Linked DNA regions of Caenorhabditis elegans. The protein of the gene in region 1 purifies or fractionates together with the protein of each later gene. This does not show direct contact. Each region holds a gene or a part of one and is shown in the gene's direction. Other genes may lie near its edges.

Region 1 (10,292 bases):
TTGAAGAATTTGCATTAAAATTTTCAAATCTGTCCTTTTTTTTTAATTTTCAGAATAAATTTCATTGGATAAAAGATAAAATTATAATAAATTAAAGGTTTAATTTAATTTAATTTTTTTTAACTTTAATTTTGTTAAAGATGTTATTTTCTCCCATTTTAAGTCTTTTATAACAGCATTTTTATATTCAATTTATGATAAATTCAAAATTATTATTATTAGAAAAAAACTTCAAATTTTGGTTCTTTGTCTTTTTTTTAATCAGAAATTTTTTTAATGTGTTTCTTGCGATTTTTTGATTTTTCGAAAATATTTTCCAATTTTTTTGGGGAAAATTCAGATTTTATCTATATTTTTTTGTTTAAAGATTTAAATTTTAATTTTGTGAAAAATGTTATTTTCTCCCATTTTAAGCCTTTTAAAACAGCATTTTTATATTTAATTCATGATAAATTAAACAATATTATTATTTAAAAAAAGGTTTTCGATTTTTCATAAAAGCAAATTTTTTTGTTTTTTTTTTTGGTTATTTTTTCTTATTTTAGAAGAAATTAATATGCGAATTTTAGATTTTTCAGTTTTTTTCTGTAAAAATCGAAAAGTTTTTCAAGTTTTTTTCGGCGAAAATTTAGATTTTATCAATATTTTTTTGGAAATCTAACTCCTTTTGACGAAAAATAAAATTTTTAAAAAATCAAATTTTCCTTTCTCTCCCTACCTGAAAAGCCTCATCGGCTCCAATATGAAAATAGCTCATTCCATATTTTTTATGCACATTTGCAACTTCCTCAATCATTTCTTTAATCAATTCCCACGCATTTTCATCGGAAAAGCATATAACTTGAGGGAATCGTGTATCCTCTCTCAAATGAGCAAATTCTTCAAGTTTCAGTATCCATTCCAAGTGTCCCATTGTCTGAACAAGTGGGATAATTTGTAAATGATGCTTTTGGGCTTCTTGTAGAATGTGCTCAACGGTCTCCATAGAATAGGCATTTTTATTGATTGCTCCGCGGAGCCGGCCTTTAAATGGGAACATATCTTCCCATTCGAGAAGAATTCCTGTCGCTTGAATTCTATTGAAAAATGCGAAGAGTTCAGTGAAAAATTCTGGTTTATAGGGTGCTCCTTTCAAATCCAAATGAACAATTCGACGTTGTGGAATGAGATTTCCGTCTGGAGAGAGTTTCGGGTATTTTTCTCCGTTTATTTCTACATTTTCAGTTCTTGGTTTTGCAGTTGTGTGGTGGGGTTGACGAGACGGCTTTTTCGTGGTTTCTGCAGCTGCTGGCTCCTGAGCTTTTGGAGCTTGAAGTGGTGAATTTGGGTGGAGACGCGGATCCGAGGGCTGAAAATTTGCAAAATTACTGGTTTTCAGTGAAAAATTCCGGAAAAATCGGAAAAAAAATCATTGATTTTCAGGAAAACCTCAAAATTTCAATTTTTGTGTATTTTAATTTTTTAAATAAATTTTTTTGCCGGAATTTCAAGTATTCTATGGGTTTTCAATACATTTTCTGAACAAAACTTCTTTTTTTTTTGAATTTTTGCAATCGAAACTACGAAATTTGCAAAATCACTGGTTTTTAGTGAAAAATTCCGAAGAAATCGGAAGAATAATCATTAATTTTCATGAAAACCTCGAAATTTTAATTTTTATTTGCCTGAAAAGCCGAAAAATTGAATATTTCTGCTTTATTCTGTGTTTCACTTTTTTTATTTAAATTTTTTAGAAATTTCTACGATTTATTTTGCATTTTCCGATATTTTTTTTCTGAAAATTTCTAAAACTCCCCCGATTTTTTTAAAAATTTTTACATTTAAAACAACGATACGAGCATCCGAGCACTGAAAAATGTTTGAAATGTGGTTTTTAAGGGAAAAAATTCAGGAAAAAAACCTCGAAATTTCTATTTTTGCTTTTTTTTTTTTTGGTTTTGTTTCTGAAAGTCCCTGATTTTTTACGAAATTTCAAGTATTTTCTGAATTTTTACATTAAAAAATACGAGTTTATGTTAAAATTCGATGTTTTGTACATAATTTTGCAATTTTTTCTCTTGTTTTTCTTCGAATACTAAGTTTTATCGGTTTTCCAGCGATTTCTCACCTCTGGCACGAATCTCGCGTGAGTTGTCGTCGATTTGAACTGTGATGTGGCGAAAAGGAAGATTATTGTGACGATGCACAAATAAATGAGCCGAACCCATGCTGACCGCGAGCGGCGCCCGAAAAAACCTCGAAGCATGGCGACGTTTATTGCACTTGTGGCATAAAACCTGGAAAATGGTTGGTTTTATTGGGATTTATTGGTAATTTTAATGGAGAAAACTATTTTTCTTGCATTTTTCAAGTTAAAATCATCAAAAAAAATCAAATTTATCGCGAAATTCCGATGAATCGGGAAGAAAAACAAAAAACAAAAATAAATTGGCTTGCGCGTTTCTCGATGCGCCAGGCAACCACTGCTGACGCACTTGTCGCACACCTCACTGCGTACTCCTCTCGGATAAGCGAAAATTGCGAATATTTGAATAATAGTTTTCGAAAATTAATGTTTGCATCAAAGTTTTGAATGCGCTGATTTTTAGATTTTAAAGTGAATAAAATGTGGTTTTGTCAAGATTGTGTGAGATTAGAAGGAGTTTTTTTCAAAAAAAAAAACTCTCAAATTCACTTGTTTAATTTATTTATCAATTAATTTATCAATGCACCATATTCGCGTTGTTTTAAAGAACGCAGCGTTATATATATATATAACAAATCGATACTCGTTCATCAGTCACCAAGTTGTCCATTGCTCCATTGTCCAGTTGTCCTTATTACAACCAAAATGGCTGGTTTCCCTATTCTCCGACTACCTTCCAAACCGCTACGCTTATTATTTCAAACAATGGATGTGTATTATTTGTGAGTATTTAAATCGAATTATTTATTTGTGTTCTAACTTTTAATAACTTTTATTTTTCCAGAGTTTCCATATCTTTCAATTCAAAATTTGCTAAATCTATAGTTGAATCGTTGAATTTGAGAGCTAATAACATTATTTTAACAATGTCGACAATAATTTCCATAGACGTCCAACTCAATACACTTGAAAGCTTGTCCTTTAAAGTGTCGGAAATCGGTTTAAGAAAATTTCTAGACCATATCCTTGACATTTTCCATCAACAAAAAGTTTCTCAACTGACGATTAGTAGTTACGATTACCAATCCATCATTGAAGAATTCGATAGCTTAAATATCGAAACATTACACTTTACATCTCCTTACATGGACACTTTTCACGGAAACCTATTGAAGAGATGTTCATGGAATTTTGATGAATTGCTCCTAAGCTGTTTCTCCCCGAGAGTTCAAGATTTTCAAGCAGTCACCTGTTGTAACTTTAAAAACATTATGATAAAGCAAGACGAATCAATTAAATTGGAAGACTTACTAGTTTCAAATATTTCCGAAATACTTATGCATACACTATTACCCCTAACAGATATTTGCCTATTTTTGAAACACTGGATCAATGGATCAAATCAATGGCTGGAGATTTTGATTATGTATGCCCAAAACGGTTCAAATTTGGACGAGTTCACTACAATTGCCTTGAATGGAATTGATTATCAAAAACCACCAACTGATGGAAAATTGGACGATTTTGAAGTATTTAATATCCGACGAAAGGATGGGACTGCAGCGACTATTACATTATTCAATTCTCCTAGGTATCCTAAATATGTTAAACTAAATGTTTGTAGTTAGATTCTTTTATTTTCAACTTGTCTCATTGGTATTTAAAAAATAGGTCCCAGATTGGAAATGTTATTCACACATTCATTGTTATGGTTCACTTCGTTTTGCTTGTATTTGTGATAAAAAGTTGAATACTAAAACATTTGGTTGTGCTATAATATTTAATAATTGTTTATTTGTCACAAGAAATAGCTACACCGGAAGATAAAGAAAAAAAGTAAATAAAAAAGATGTGTGGACAAATAAGTAAAATGACCAATTGGACCAGCTATAGCCCGGGAGGTCAAGTTGGGGGGAAGAGGGTGTCAAATGGGATAGAGCCTAGGCGCGACGCAAATGCATTTGGAGTTAACAATTGAGGGAAACGTTTTGCTATTCGATTCCACAACGACAAGTTAACATGTAGAAAACATTTAGACGGGACACCACAGACAACAAGTAGATAGGGGTGACGAGTAGAGCGTGAAGCTCGAACGAACGATGATAAGGACGGGAAGTGATACTCGCTTGAAATAATTTTATGGAAGGTTCGGAGGATTTGAAGAACCCGTCTATGGTGGGTAGACAATAAATTAAATTCTGAAAGCCTACTACTGTATGACGAGTAAGATAAATTGCACCTTTGAAAGACACACTTTGAGAAAAACCGGAGGGGAGATTCGAGTTTTTTGGCAAGTTCGGTGGAGTTGGGCGGGAAGAGCTCGCAGGCATATTCGAGTACGGGGCGGATGTAAACATTGAACAGTTTAAAATAGAATTCGGGACTTTTAGAGCGGAATGAACGAAGGATTTGGCGACACTTAAGGAGGGCACTATTAGAAGTCTGATTAATATGATTTACAAATGATAATTTGGTATCGACAATGATTCCGAGATCTCTGATAGAATCACGCGGTTTAATTTCAACACTATTTACAAAGTATTTATGACGGGGGTTCTTTTTTCCAAAATGTAATACGGCAGTTTTGTGCTCAGCAAGATTTAGACGCCATTTTTTACACCAATCAGCGACAATATTGATGCTTGTTTGGATAGAGGTGGGGTCCGATCCGAGTAATTTTAGATCGTCGGCAAAGGCTGTAACATGGACATCAGGGGGGAACAAATCAGTCATTAATATACAAAAGAAAGAAAATATAATAAGTCATTAATATACAAAAGAAAGAGGAATGGTCCAGTTACACTACCTTGGGGGACACCAGACATGACATTGAAAGAGTTGTCCGAGATAAAATGATCAATTTTGATTTTCGATGAACGGTTACTGAGGAACGAGCTGATCCACTCACAGCATCCTGAATCGAGCCCAACATTCAGAAGTTTGAGAAGAAGCAAGTTGTGGGGAACACTATCGAATGCTTTTTTGAAATCGAAATATATAGTATCCACATACTTGCTCTTGTCAAGGAGGACTTTCTGAATTTTGGACGTCGATTCGAGAACTGCCAGAGTGCATGAGCGCGCAGGCAGGAAACCGAATTGTTTGGAAGAGAGGAGTGGAGATAATTTCTGCTTGAGAGCATCAAGTACAACTCGTTCAAATAGTCTAGACAATGGATGAGTAAGTGTAATCGGGCGATAGTTACCCGGATTAGTTGTGGACCCTTTTTTGTGTAATGGGACAATGATGGAAGTCTTCCAGGGGGTCGGGAAGAAGGAGCTGGAGAATGACTCGGAAAAGATTATGGACAAGGGGACGGTTAGAGAATCACTACACTTTTTTATGATAAAGAAATTGATATTGTCGGTAGAAAACCCAATTTTGGCTTTAAGAACTTTGATATGCCTGTGGATGTTGAACGGCGAGAAATCGAGGGATAATTTAGAGGGCTTGGGTGCCGGAAGAGCTGGGAAGGGTGGGCAAGGCGCTGTGAATGACAGAGCAAAGTTATGAATAAACTCATCTGCAATGCGCACTGGGTCAGACACTGTTTCATTATTGATGTCAAGATTGATAGGTTGAGGTCGGGGGGTGATTCTTTTTTTTACAAGCTGAAATACACTGCGGGAGTCAGTGGCGTGAATGGCTTGGTCTTCCTCATGAGCAAGTCTTCGTTTGATAGATTTGAGCTCTTTACGCATTTTTCTTCTGACTGATATGGTATTCGAGCACGCGCGACGCGCAAGCCTGTAAATGGATTTGTGAGAGGTGGATTTCGGACGAAGTGGTTTGGCAATAGGGGTGTAAAGAACAATTAATTCGTTGAAAATGCGGGAGAAATATAACTTTCTAAAAAAGTGGCAGTAATTTCCACTTTTTTACTGTAAATAATACATACATTATTTACAGTAAAAAAGTGAAATGTCTTAGGGTGCGTCCATAGTCTGCGGAAAACGGGAATTTCCCGCGTGCGGAAGCGTCCATAGTCTGCGGAAAAACCGGAGTTCCTCTCTTTTTTTCCTCAAAATTCAAAAAAGTAGGCGTGGCCAACCAATCAGCTGTTGCTTCTTGTTTTCCCATTGCTCAGCTTAAAATTTTACAGCCCCTAATTGGTTGAACACGCCCACTATTTTGAAATTGACCAATAACAAAGCGAGAAACTCCTTGTTTTTTTCCGCAGACTATGGACGCTTCCGCAGGCTGGAATTTCCCGTTTTCCGCAGACTATGGACGCACCATTAAAAATTCAATGTTGAATTTTGCCGGAAATATTATAAATAATGCCATTTTGAATATTATGCTTGCGCGTTTCTTGATGCGCCAAGTAACGTCTGCTGGCGCATACTCCGTGCCTTTCCTGCGTACTCCTCTCGGACAAGCAACAATATTGTGATTTATTTCAAAACCGAGATTTTTTTGTGTCAAACTCCGCCTTATTCATGAGATTTTTGTTAAATTCACATGTTAAAACATCTAACAGACTTCTTTAAGTCAGTATTCATCCGAAAAGCTCCCCAACAACCGCTTTCTTGGAAGGATATTCTAAAGGTAAATTTTAAAAATTTGCTTTCTATTCAAAAAGTTGTTTATTTATTTATTTTCAGGACGAACAAGCTTTGATCACACCTTTAAAAAGAAGACGAACAATGTTACTGCCGTCAAATCGAATCTTTCTCTGGAAAACCGAGGCGCCAGTGCAAAAAAAGAAAATCCAAACCGGATTGAATTTTATGTTCCAGTTTAATCACGGAGAGGAGCATTTTGTGATAAAGACTCAGCGAGCTTTTGAGCAGAAGCTGGTAGATGAAGCTTTGCCCAAGGTGAGGGAAATCTATCAAATTATTTAAATTTAAAAATGAAGCAAATTATTCCAGATTTCAGCGCTAATGAGGAAAAAGTCAAGGACCGAGGCTTCTGAGGAGGATATTTCGATGCAATTAGCCGCGGAATTTGAAAATTTCAAGGATATAAATTTAAAAACGACTCTAGAATTTGCTGATGATAAAAGGATCTCAAAATTATTGGTTAATGGCTCCGAATTTGAAGTAATTCGCAACGGAATTCCAATTTCTACAGTATCAATTACTCTTACACCGATCGTCGGCCAATTCTGTATGCCTACAATTGCCTACAATATCAAAGGAACTCGTGTACAGCTACATTGGTTCGTCAAGGATCAAAAAGAGACTGGAAAATCGGAAAAATTAGGTCCAACTCAGAAGGATAACGATTCTCTGAAACTGGCGTTCGAGGACGAGGCAGCTCGAACTTTTAAGCTGCATGGATACAGTTTTAGGCATTCTGGGCCATATTTCCAGCCTGATGAGAAGGATGTTAGCCGGCTGGTCGCAGTCGTTGTGGAGTCTGGAAAAGATCATCCAGCCTAGTAAGGAGGCGGCGAAATGCTTAAAATTAGCTATAAAATTGTAGAAAAATATGTCTCTTAACACAAAAAAAATTTTGTTGAAAAACTAAGAAAAAAAATATCCTTTAAAAAATTCAGAAATAATAAATAATTAATATCCGATATAGAATAATTTTCGTTTTCGGAAAATAAAATTCGAAAAAAAAAACCAAAATTCACCATTAATTTGTCAAAGAAAATTCCAATTTCAATAATAAATATTGAACATTTTTTTTTAAGCTCTGGGTTTTTTTTTTTGAAATCAAAAATATTAAATGTTGAATTATCAGATAAAAAGAGCCAATTTTAATGAGAAAAAGTAAAAATTTAAAAAATTATGAAAAAAAAGAAAATTTTTCTCGAAAGCTAGGGAAATTATAATAAAAAATATCTTTTAGAAAAATAATTTTCAAAAATCAATTAAACTACAAAACGTTTTGTGATTTTCTAGAGATTAAATAAAAAAGAATACTAATTTTAATGAGAAAAATTGCCAATTTTTGAAAAACCAAAACACTTCTTTGAAATTAAAATTTAAAAAATCGAAAAAATTTTGAAGTTGATTTTAAGTTTTATGAAAAACAAAAAATGAAAAAAAAAAACATTTTAAATATATAAAAGAAATTATTCAGCGCTGCAATAAGTTCGAGACCGATTTCCCAGCTCCACGATGAGGTTATTACTGACGAGCAGGTCAAATGGTGCGAGGAAATCTCATTGGAAGATGATTCGACGTTCGTTTTAATTTTCTGAATTATCCAAAAATTTACACAAAAAAAAAAGATTTCATTCATGAAAAAAGTGAAAAAAAATACAAAAATAAAAAAAAATTTCGATTTTTATATTAAAAAAACTGAAAGCCTTTTTTTTTAATTCTTCCTAGAATAATTTTCGGTTTTGGAGCAAAAAACAAGTTTTTTGCGATTTTTTTAAATTTCTGTAGAAACACTGCAGGACCACTCAGCGATTTGCTCCGCCTTTTTTTCAACCAATCAGACGACGTGGGCGGAGTTCTTTTCTGAATTTTAACTGTATTTTAGTTTTTTTTTTAAAGTTTCTTAAAAATTAGGGACAAACCAAAAATTGAAATTAAAAAAACCTTTTTTCCAAAAAAAAAAACGATTTCTAAAATTAAAAATTTAAAGTTTAATTTTTTTTTCAAAAAGTTAAAATTTTCAATAAAAACAAATCCAAAATTACCGATCGCTTCTCGTAATCGCTAAAAACTAAAGCGTTTGTTTAAAAAAATGGAAAATTTCAGATTTTCTAAAAAAAAACATGTGAAAATCTAGAACAATTAAAAAACATTTCAAAATCGTAATACACAAAAAAATTCGAAAAAAGAAACGATTATTTTATTTTAGAATTTAAATAGAATTCTTTTTAAAAAATTCCAAATTATTACAGAATTCGAATAATGTCGTATAACATTCTGGCTGACCTCTACCTAAACCTCACACTCCCACAAGAACAACTATTCTTCAATTATTGCCAAAAATCGAGCCAACGAATTATCTACCGAACACCAATATTCCTGAAACAGCTGCATGATTTCATTCATAGTGCCCGGTGCTCTCTGATATTCCTTCAAGAAGTTGATCTCAGTCGTCATGAGAATTTCATTGTGCCATTTTTAAATACGATCAGTTATTCTAGTGAAATCGCGAAAAAAGTTGGAACAGTTTCCGAAGGAGTTGCTATTATTTTCGATAGTCAGAGGTTTCAAGTGATCTCTTCAAAGTGTTACGGAGTTGCCGAGCTAGCTAGTGGAGATATTCTAGGGATCCTTGAGACATCAGAAGAATCGAAAGAACGATTTTCAACTCGTCCCACAGTTTTGCAAATTGTGGTTCTAAAAGATTCCAGAACCGGGAAACTTCTAGTCTGCGGCAATACACATTTACACCATAATCCTATAGATGAACACGTGAAAGTGCTACAAGCATTGACTTGTACACGGAAACTTTTGGAAATTTACGAGGAAACTAGAGAATTGAATAAAGGAATTGAGGTTCTTGTCTTATTTGGAGGAGATTTCAATAGTACACCCAATGGAGCTGTGTTTAATTTGATGAGCATGGTGAATATATTTTTTTTGATTTCAAGGAAATTGAAAAAATAAATAAAAAATTATTCTAGTGTTTCCAAGTTTCCAAAAAAAGTTAAATTTTTCAAACAAAAATTCCAAAATTATCGCTAAAAAACTAGAGCGGTTGTTTTTTTTTATTTGAAAATTTCAGATGTTCTTTAAAAAATAGGTGAAAAATAAATATTTACAAAAAATCGAATTTTTTATTATTTTCAAAAATACTAATCACAAAAATAAAATGTGTATTCCAAAAAGTTTTTCAGAATTTTTGTAAAAAATCGACAAACTTCTGGAATTTTGAATAATTTCCAGAGTTTTTCAGCAAAAAGTGAATGAAAATTCAATATTTTTAAAGTTTTGAATTTCCAAAAAAAACACCAAAATTTGGTAAAAAAAATTTTTAGTTTTTCAAACAAAAATTCCAAAATTACCGCTTTAAATTTGAAAATTTCAGATTTAAAAAAAAAATAGGTGATAAATCGAAAAATTCAAAAAAAAAAAAATGAATTTTTAAATATTTTTGAAAATTTACTTTTTCTAAATTTTTTCAAAAAAAAAAACGATAAATTTCTGGAATTTTGATAATTTCCATTTTCCAAAGATTTTAATAAAAAAATTGTTTTTTCGATTTTTTTCATATATTTAGAAAATAATAATAAATATGTATTTCCACA
Region 2 (10,292 bases), on another chromosome or scaffold:
TGCACTGGTCTTCAAATTTTTTCAAACTGAGAATCATGGAAATAATGGAGTTTCAATTGTGCACTGGTGTTCTCATTATCTTAAACTGACAATCATGGAAATAATGGAGTTTCAATTGTGCACTGGATTTCAAATTTTGTAAACTGAGAGTTATAGAGAATATCGAGTTTCAATTGTGCACTAGTTTTCATATTTATTAAACTGAGAATTATTGAGAATATGGAGTGTCAATGGTGCACTGGTTTTCAAATTTTTTTTAAACTGAGAATTATTGAGAATATGGAGTTTCAATTGTGCACTGGTTTTCAAATTTTTTAAACTGAGAATTATTGAGAATATGGAGTTTCAATTGTGCACTGGTTTTCAAATTATTTTAAACTGACAATCATGGAAATAATGGAGTTTCAATTGTGCACTGGTTTTCAAATTTTTTAAACTGAGAATTATTGAGAATATGGAGTTTCAATTGTGCACTGGTTTTCAAATTGTTTTAAACTGAGAATTATTGAGAATATGGAGTTTCAATTGTGCACTGGTTTTCAAATTTTTTAAACTGAGAATTATTGAGAATATGGAGTTTCAATTGTGCACTGGTTTTCAAATTTTTTCAAACTGAGAATCATGGAAATAATGGAGTTTCAATTGTGCACTGGTTTTCAAATTGTTTTAAACTGAGAATCATGGAAATAATGGAGTTTCAATTGTGCACTGGTTTTCAAATTGTTTTAAACTGAGAATTATTGAGAATATGGAGTTTCAATTGTGCACTGGTTTTCAAATTTTTTAAACTGAGAATTATTGAGAATATGGAGTTTCAATTGTGCACTGGTTTTCAAATTTTTTCAAACTGAGAATCATGGAAATAATGGAGTTTCAATTGTGCACTGGTTTTCAAATTTTTTAAACTGAGAATTATTGAGAATATGGAGTTTCAATTGTGCACTGGTTTTCAAATTGTTTTAAACTGAGAATCATGGAAATAATGGAGTTTCAATTGTGCACTGGTTTTCAAATTGTTTTAAACTGAGAATTATTGAGAATATGGAGTTTCAATTGTGCACTGGTTTTCAAATTTTTTAAACTGAGAATTATTGAGAATATGGAGTTTCAATTGTGCACTGGTTTTCAAATTATTTTAAACTGACAATCATGGAAATAATGGAGTTTCAATTGTGCACTGGTTTTCAAATTTTTTAAACTGAGAATTATTGAGAATATGGAGTTTCAATTGTGCACTGGTTTTCAAATTTTTTAAACTGAGAATTATTGAGAATATGGAGTTTCAATTGTGCACTGGTTTTCAAATTTTTTTTAAACTGAGAATTATTGAGAATATGGAGTTTCAATTGTGCACTGGTTTTCAAATTTTTTAAACTGAGAATTATTGAGAATATGGAGTTTCAATTGTGCACTGGTTTTCAAATTATTTTAAACTGACAATCATGGAAATAATGGAGTTTCAATTGTGCACTGGTTTTCAAATTGTTTTAAACTGAGAATCATGGAAATAATGGAGTTTCAATTGTGCACTGGTTTTCAAATTGTTTTAAACTGAGAATTATTGAGAATATGGAGTTTCAATTGTGCACTGGTTTTCAAATTATTTTAAACTGACAATCATGGAAATAATGGAGTTTCAATTGTGCACTGGTTTTCAAATTTTTTAAACTGAGAATTATTGAGAATATGGAGTTTCAATTGTGCACTGGTTTTCAAATTTTTTTTAAACTGAGAATTATTGAGAATATGGAGTTTCAATTGTGCACTGGTTTTCAAATTTTTTAAACTGAGAATTATTGAGAATATGGAATTTCAATTGTGCACTGGTTTTCAAATTTTTTTTAAACTGAGAATTATTGAGAATATGGAGTTTCAATTGTGCACTGGTTTTCAAATTGTTTTAAACTGACAATCATGGAAATAATGGAGTTTCAATTGTGCACTGGTTTTCAAATTTTTTAAACTGAGAATTATTGAGAATATGGAGTTTCAATTGTGCACTGGTTTTCAAATTTTTTAAACTGAGAATTATTGAGAATATGGAGTTTCAATTGTGCACTGGTTTTCAAATTTTTTTTAAACTGAGAATTATTGAGAATATGGAGTTTCAATTGTGCACTGGTTTTCAAATTTTTTAAACTGAGAATTATTGAGAATATGGAATTTCAATTGTGCACTGGTTTTCAAATTTTTTTTAAACTGAGAATTATTGAGAATATGGAGTTTCAATTGTGCACTGGTTTTCAAATTTTTTTTAAACTGAGAATTATTGAGAATATGGAATTTCAATTGTGCACTGGTTTTCAAATTTTTTTTAAACTGAGAATTATTGAGAATATGGAGTTTCAATTGTGCACTGGTTTTCAAATTTTTTTTAAACTGAGAATTATTGAGAATATGGAATTTCAATTGTGCACTGGTTTTCAAATTTTTTTTAAACTGAGAATCATGGAAATAATGGAGTTTCAATTGTGCACTGGTTTTCAAATTTTTTTAAACTGAGAATCATGGAAATAATGGAGTTTCAATTGTGCACTGGTTTTCAAATTTTTTTAAACTGAGAATCATGGAAATAATGGAGTTTCAATTGTGCACTGGTTTTCAAATTTTTTTTAAACTGAGAATTATTGAGAATATGGAGTTTCAATTGTGCACTGGTTTTCAAATTTTTTTAAACTGAGAATTATTGAGAATATGGAGTTTCAATTGTGCACTGGTTTTCAAATTTTTTTAAACTGAGAATCATGGAAATAATGGAGTTTCAATTGTGCACTGGTTTTCAAATTTTTTAAACTGAGAATTATTGAGAATATGGAGTTTCAATTGTGCACTGGTTTTCAAATTTTTTTTAAACTGAGAATTATTGAGAATATGGAGTTTCAATTGTGCACTGGTTTTCAAATTTTTTTTAAACTGAGAATTATTGAGAATATGGAGTTTCAATTGTGCACTGGTTTTCAAATTTTTTCAAACTGAGAATCATGGAAATAATGGAGTTTCAATTGTGCACTGGTTTTCAAATTTTTTTTAAACTGAGAATTATTGAGAATATGGAGTTTCAATTGTGCACTGGTTTTCAAATTGTTTTAAACTGAGAATCATGGAAATAATGGAGTTTCAATTGTGCACTGGTTTTCAAATTGTTTTAAACTGAGAATTATTGAGAATATGGAGTTTCAATTGTGCACTGGTTTTCAAATTATTTTAAACTGACAATCATGGAAATAATGGAGTTTCAATTGTGCACTGGTTTTCAAATTTTTTAAACTGAGAATTATTGAGAATATGGAGTTTCAATTGTGCACTGGTTTTCAAATTATTTTAAACTGACAATCATGGAAATAATGGAGTTTCAATTGTGCACTGGTTTTCAAATTTTTTTTAAACTGAGAATTATTGAGAATATGGAGTTTCAATTGTGCACTGGTTTTCAAATTTTTTTAAACTGAGAATTATTGAGAATATGGAGTTTCAATTGTGCACTGGTTTTCAAATTTTTTTAAACTGAGAATCATGGAAATAATGGAGTTTCAATTGTGCACTGGTTTTCAAATTTTTTAAACTGAGAATTATTGAGAATATGGAGTTTCAATTGTGCACTGGTTTTCAAATTTTTTTTAAACTGAGAATTATTGAGAATATGGAGTTTCAATTGTGCACTGGTTTTCAAATTTTTTTTAAACTGAGAATTATTGAGAATATGGAGTTTCAATTGTGCACTGGTTTTCAAATTTTTTCAAACTGAGAATCATGGAAATAATGGAGTTTCAATTGTGCACTGGTTTTCAAATTGTTTTAAACTGAGAATCATGGAAATAATGGAGTTTCAATTGTGCACTGGTTTTCAAATTGTTTTAAACTGAGAATCATGGAAATAATGGAGTTTCAATTGTGCACTGGTTTTCAAATTGTTTTAAACTGAGAATCATGGAAATAATGGAGTTTCAATTGTGCACTGGTTTTCAAATTGTTTTAAACTGAGAATCATGGAAATAATGGAGTTTCAATTGTGCACTGGTTTTCAAATTTTTTAAACTGAGAATTATTGAGAATATGGAGTTTCAATTGTGCACTGGTTTTCAAATTTTTTTTAAACTGAGAATTATTGAGAATATGGAGTTTCAATTGTGCACTGGTTTTCAAATTTTTTTTAAACTGAGAATCATGGAAATAATGGAGTTTCAATTGTGCACTGGTTTTCAAATTTTTTTTAAACTGAGAATTATTGAGAATATGGAGTTTCAATTGTGCACAGGTTTTCAAATTATTTTAAACTGACAATCATGGAAATAATGGAGTTTCAATTGTGCACTGGTTTTCAAATTTTTTTAAACTGAGAATCATGGAAATAATGGAGTTTCAATTGTGCACTGGTTTTCAAATTTTTTTTAAACTGAGAATTATTGAGAATATGGAGTTTCAATTGTGCACAGGTTTTCAAATTTTTTTAAACTGAGAATCATGGAAATAATGGAGTTTCAATTGTGCACTGGTTTTCAATTTTTTTTAAACTGAGAATTATTGAGAATATGGAGTTTGAATTGTGCACTGGTTTTCAAATTTTTTTAAACTGAGAATTATGGAGATTAGACAATTTTTGAAACGTGAATGGAAAATACCGCTACAGTAACCAAACTTTAATTTAGAAACTTTATTTACTGTAGGCCAATAATAACACTCTAGTTATCTGTCCACCTATTTTGAACTTGATCATGCTCAAATCACACGCGACAAATCATATTTTTCTATCACAATAATCAGTTGTTTCGAAACTTTCTTATCGTCAAAACTTTGCATCACTCATGGCTTGATAGTATGTGTTTGTGGAGAGAGGGAAAAGTTAAAAAGGGATAGTAGTTATACATTTTCTGTGTCAAAAATTTGGTTTGTGACTGTTCGGGCAGATATAAAAATGAAAGAAAATTATGGTGGATATCTCATTTTTTGAGAATTGGAAGCTTTATAAATTCAGCATTTTCAACGTCTGAAAAATGATTTTCGAGCTCATCCTAATTTCAATTGTTACCTACTATTTCTGGCATTGGACTTTCTGGAAGCGACGTGGATTGCCAGGCCCTTGGGGAGTTCCGATTTTCGGAAAAGCTGGAGCTATGCTGGAGGATAGTTTCCCACCGGGTTACACTCTTCAAAAATGGACAAAGGAATATGGAAAAATTTATGGATTCACTGAAGGAATGCAGAAAGTCATGGTGATTTCAGATCCTGATTTGGTTCAGGAAATCCTTGTGAAACAGTACGATAATTTTTATGGAAGAAAGCATAATCCAGTTCAAGGAGATCCAGATAAGGATAAGGATATTCATATTGTTGGAGCTCAAGGTTTTAGGTAAGGAGACCACTTCAGACGTGCTGGCTTGCCTGCCACTCGCATATTTTAATTGATAACTTTCAGATGGAAACGTCTCCGAACAATCACGGCACCTGCATTTTCAAATGGCAGTATCAAAAAAGTATTGACTACAATGGAAGATAGCACACAGGAGCTTATGAAAAAATTAAGAGAAGAATCAGAGAATGGAAAAGCAGTCAATATGCATCTGTAAGTTGTTCATAGCGGTCTAATTAAGGTGTTTTACTGTTAAATTTTAGTTTCTACCAGGAGTACACCTTTGACGTGATCTCCAGAGTTGCCATGGGACAACCCGACTCCCAAATGTTTAAAAATCCATTATTAAAGGATGTTAAAGGGGTAGGTTCATCTCCTTTGTTGGATTGATTTTTAATTTTAAAAGTTTAACAAAAATGTATTTTTACAGTTCTTCGAGCACAACCGCTGGCAGATCTGGATGTTCAGTGGAGGATTTCCATTTGCTGTGTCTTTTCTCAAATGGTTGTTCATTAAAGTAGGCAAGTTCGGAGCTGGTCCCTTTATTGTCGTGCAAAAATCGGTAACGGACGCAGTGATGTCCCGGATTGCTCAACGAGAAGCCGATAAGAAACATGGAGTTGAGCCAGGAGAGGCCGCTGATTATATTGATATGTTTTTGAATGCAAGAGCCGAAGTTGAACATTTTGGTGAAAGCAATGACGAATTCCATAAATCATCCTCCTATGTAAGCTTGAAATTAACATAGTGATTTTTATAAATTCCTTCAATTTCAGAATAACCGACAACTGACCACTCAAGAAATCATTAGCCAGTGCTTTGTATTTTTAGTTGCTGGATTTGATACTACAGCCATTTCCCTTTCCTATGTTACATACTTCTTGGCATTGAATCCAAAAATTCAGAGCAAGTTACAAGACGAAGTAGACAAAGAATGTCCAAATGATGAGATCACATTTGATCAGCTTTCAAAATTGAAATATATGGATAATGTGATCAAGGAGTCATTAAGATTGTTCCCATTTGCTTCTTTGTGAGTTTCCAATGTTTACTTACAAATTAAATATATTTTACTTTCAGTGCAAACTCCCGCCGATGCATGAGAAATACGGTTATCGGAGAGCAAATTGTAGAAGCTGGTGTTGATGTGATGATCGACACCTGGACTCTTCACCATGACAAAAATGTATGGGGAAATGACGTAGAAGAGTTCAAGCCTGAAAGGTAAGATATTTTCGATGCGTACTTTAAGAAAGATTTTTCAAGAGCGTAGTGACGTCTATCAAGATTCTATGAAAAAGTAATTTAAAAATATTTTTAGATGGGACTCTCCATTAACTCCTCAACAAGCATACCTCTCATTTGGTGCTGGACCCAGAGTATGTCTCGGAATGCGGTTTGCACTTTTGGAGCAGAAAGGATTATTGTCACATATACTCAAAAAATATACTTTCGAGACAAATGCGAAGACACAGCTTCCGATTAAATTAGTAGGCCGAGCAACTGCAAGGCCTGAAAACTTGTTCTTGTCATTGAAGCCGAGAGTTTGATTATAATATACCTTTCCTAATCCCTCCATGTTGTTTTAACTTTCTTCAACTTAATACAAATAGCTTTAAATTTAATTTTTTAAGTAACTGACATAGAAGTTTGTGCTTTTAAATACGTGAACATACAAATTTATTGGGTAAATATATAAACAAAGACAACAATCCGTACAAAACACATTTCAAAACCTGGATTTAAGTTTGAGCAGCACACTTGATGGCGCAATAGTAGCAGTTCCGACTAACTTCAATGGAATCACAGTTTCTGGTGTGGTTTCAAATGTATAGTTTTTCAAAATATTGGTCAAAAGCATTTTCATTTCCATCATAGCCAATCGCATACCAATACAAATTCTTGGTCCCATGCCGAACGGAAGATATCCGCCTTTAGCAAAGAATAGTTCATCCCCGGACTCCCATCTGTAGAACATTTGATGAAATAAATAATTGTCAAATAAAACCAACCTTTCCGGCTTGAACTCGTTAACATCATCTCCCCAAACTTTCGGATCATGGTGAAGAGACCAGGTATCCACATTAATATTTGTTCCAGCTTCTATTTCCATTCCCAGAACATTTGTGGTTTTGAGACATTTTCGATTGTGAACACTGAATTATTTTTTAATTACAGAGAACAAACTACACCACGGCAAAACTTAGAAATTAAAAAAAAACTAACAGAGACGCCAATGGATACAATCTCAATGCTTCTTTCACAACACATTCCAAATATTTCAATTTCGACAGCTGATCAAAAGTGACTTCAGGGTCTGGACATTCTCTATCCACTTCTTCTTGTAATTTCTTCTGAATCTCTGGATGTGTTGCCAGGAGATATGAAGAATATGACAGAGAAAGGGCAGTCGTGTCGTATCCAGCTAACAAGAAAACAAACAGTTGTCCAATAATCTCATCAAATGTCAGATGCTTATCCACTTTCAAGACTTCACTTTTAGCAAAATCTTGTTCAGCTTCGCCTTCGAAAAAGTCTACAGTTGATCTAGCATCTAAAAACAAATCGATGAAATCTTGAGGCTCCCCAGATGGCTCAATTCCAGCCTTCTCATCAGCTTCCCTTTGTTCCAGTCGTTTGTTCAAAGCCTTCTCCAAAATACTTTGAATATCGGTAGCCATTTGAAGTGATGGAAATTTGGCAAAAATGTTGCGTAGAGCAATTCCAACGAAAGGAAATATTCCAGAGATCATAAAAACATTGTTTCGTCCTTCTTTGAAAATCTGAAAAATTTGAAATAAATTATTTAAAATCAAGTCATTCCACAAACCGTTTTGACTTTATCTAGCATTGGGTTTCTAAACATTAAGGATTTTTCTTGTCCCATTGCCATTTTTCCAATAATATCCATTGTGAATTCTTGGTAATATCTTTAAAAAAGTTAATTGTCTAAACAGTTCCAAACTTTTTATTTTGAAACATACTCTAGCATGTCAAGAGTTTTTCCTTCCGCACTTGCTTTCTCTAATGATCTGACCAACTCCGTAACACTTTCTTCTACAGTACCCATAATCTTTCTTAGACTTTTATTCGAAAAAGTAGGAGAAGCTAAAGTTCTCAATCGCTTCCATCTATGGCCTTGAGCAGCAACAAGTGGTACTCTCTTGTTTTTATTTGGATCTCCTTGAATTGCAGTTAATTTTCTCCCGTAGAAATTATCAAATTGTTTTACAAAAACTTCATGTACAAATTCTGGATCCGAAATTACCAACGTCTTTTCAACACCTTCCGTAATTCCATAAACAGGTCCGTATTTCTGAAATATTAAACATTACTTAATGATTAATGTAAAATAAATAAATTCATTCTACCTTTGTCCATTCGCTGAACTTCAAAGCTCCAGGGTTCTCATAGTTTGTGAACTTGTGAATAACTCCGAGAAATGGTAGACCTCTAGGCCCTTTGACTCCTTTTCGAATCCAGAATGACCAAATCCATAAATAATAGGAAATTATTCCAACAAATATTGCAATAGCTATGAGTATACTGAAACTCATGTCTAGTTTCAAAAAAAATTAAATTAAATTAAATTGTGTAATATGTGGCATTATTTATATACTTTTTTGTCGATCATCTGTTAAGTTAGTTTTTAGTCTTATCTTCTTGTCGCACAAAACATTATGGTTTGTGTTTAATAGAACAAGAAAGTGGGTGACAAGAATCGTATGATTTGGAGAAACCCAGCAATCAAGAAGATTTTGTTTCAAAATTCGTAGTCTGGATACTTTAGAATGTATTCTCAATTTTCGAATAAAGTTTAGAGGATGTTTTTTCAAACTTTTATCAATTTTTGAAAACTATCTGATGGTTTTATAATTATTACAGTCACATATTTGTAGCTTGTGAATCTAAACCTATTATGTATATTCTCGTTTTAAAAAAATTAATTGCCGAAAAAAAGCAAAAAATTTTAATCTTACGAAAAAAAGTTTTTTTTTTGGATTTATCAGCTTCAGTGCTCATTTTCATCCCTAACTTTCTTTCAAGAAATTTTAGATATGAAGAACAATTTTAAAATTCTAGATCAACCAAATCTCTGAAACAAAACTAGTTTTCTATTGTTTCTACATATTGATATTTTTTTTAAACTCCATTATCATTTTTAATTTTTTAAAAAGTTTTCTAACTACCATCTGCTCTCCATCACCTCTTTATGTTTTTTGCATTTGAGCAGTGAAAAGTTTGAAGAATATTGGTACAACTTTTATACCTTCCAAAAAGTGCTTGCCCCATTCTCTATGTTCTCTTATCAGTACACTATATCTCAACAGTCGACACATTTGTGTGGAAAAGTGTTGTTTGTGTCTGACTGTTGTTTCTACCACCGATACTATTTATAAGGTGGTCTACCGAAAAACATCAATACGTTTCTTTTTTATTCCTGAAAATAAAAACATGATTTTCGTTTTATTATCTGCAGTTCTACTAGGAGTATTCACATACTCCGTATGGATCTGGTCATATTTTATTCGAAAGGGCATAAAAGGTCCACGTGGATTCCCTGGAATTGGAATGTTGATTCAGACCATCGATCATGAGAATCCACCGTTTTTAAAGTACAGGGATTGGACTAAAGTGCGTTGTTTTTTTTTTAATTTAGAAACCTTTTCGCATTTCTGCTAGTTTCAAAAATTTCAAAAACTTTTAAATTTCAATGAAAACTAATAAAATAAACTTTCAGCAATATGGTCCTGTTTACGGTTTCACAGAAGGACCCCAACAAACTATGATAATCTCGGAACCAGAGATGGTCAATGAAATATTCAAAAAACAATTCGACAATTTCTATGGTCGAAAGTTGCGTCCAATCATTGGTGATCCTGAAAAAGACAAACGAGTCAATATTTTCTCGACTCAAGGAAAACGTTGGAAACGTCTTCGGACA

Evidence for each region.
Region 2: the proteins of pde-12 (region 1) and cyp-13A8 fractionate together in Caenorhabditis elegans (co-fractionation; one large-scale study listed by BioGRID). This does not show direct contact.

The regions. Positions count from the first base shown.
Region 1 is NC_003281.10:10,841,206-10,851,497, reverse strand, and holds the start of pde-12 (Endonuclease/exonuclease/phosphatase domain-containing protein), read left to right. Parts: upstream 1-6,477; 5' UTR 6,478-6,586; coding exon 6,587-6,673; intron 6,674-6,729; coding exon 6,730-6,945; intron 6,946-6,999; coding exon 7,000-7,511; intron 7,512-8,161; coding exon 8,162-8,263; intron 8,264-8,936; coding exon 8,937-9,609; intron 9,610-10,292. Other genes in the region: hex-3 (beta-N-acetylhexosaminidase), read right to left, coding at 719-1,348, 2,108-2,245; fbxb-85 (F-box domain-containing protein), read left to right, coding at 2,831-2,907, 2,970-3,753.
Region 2 is NC_003280.10:9,802,232-9,812,523, reverse strand, and holds cyp-13A8 (Putative cytochrome P450 CYP13A8), read left to right. Parts: upstream 1-4,954; 5' UTR 4,955-4,991; coding exon 4,992-5,347; intron 5,348-5,413; coding exon 5,414-5,560; intron 5,561-5,610; coding exon 5,611-5,710; intron 5,711-5,777; coding exon 5,778-6,074; intron 6,075-6,123; coding exon 6,124-6,380; intron 6,381-6,427; coding exon 6,428-6,571; intron 6,572-6,668; coding exon 6,669-6,897; 3' UTR 6,898-6,924; downstream 6,925-10,292. Other genes in the region: cyp-13A7 (Putative cytochrome P450 CYP13A7), read right to left, coding at 7,077-7,314, 7,360-7,503, 7,574-8,130, 8,178-8,277, 8,332-8,663, 8,719-8,904; cyp-13A6 (Putative cytochrome P450 CYP13A6), read left to right, coding at 9,803-9,982, 10,089-10,292. UniProt on the Caenorhabditis elegans protein: Cytochromes P450 are a group of heme-thiolate monooxygenases. They oxidize a variety of structurally unrelated compounds, including steroids, fatty acids, and xenobiotics.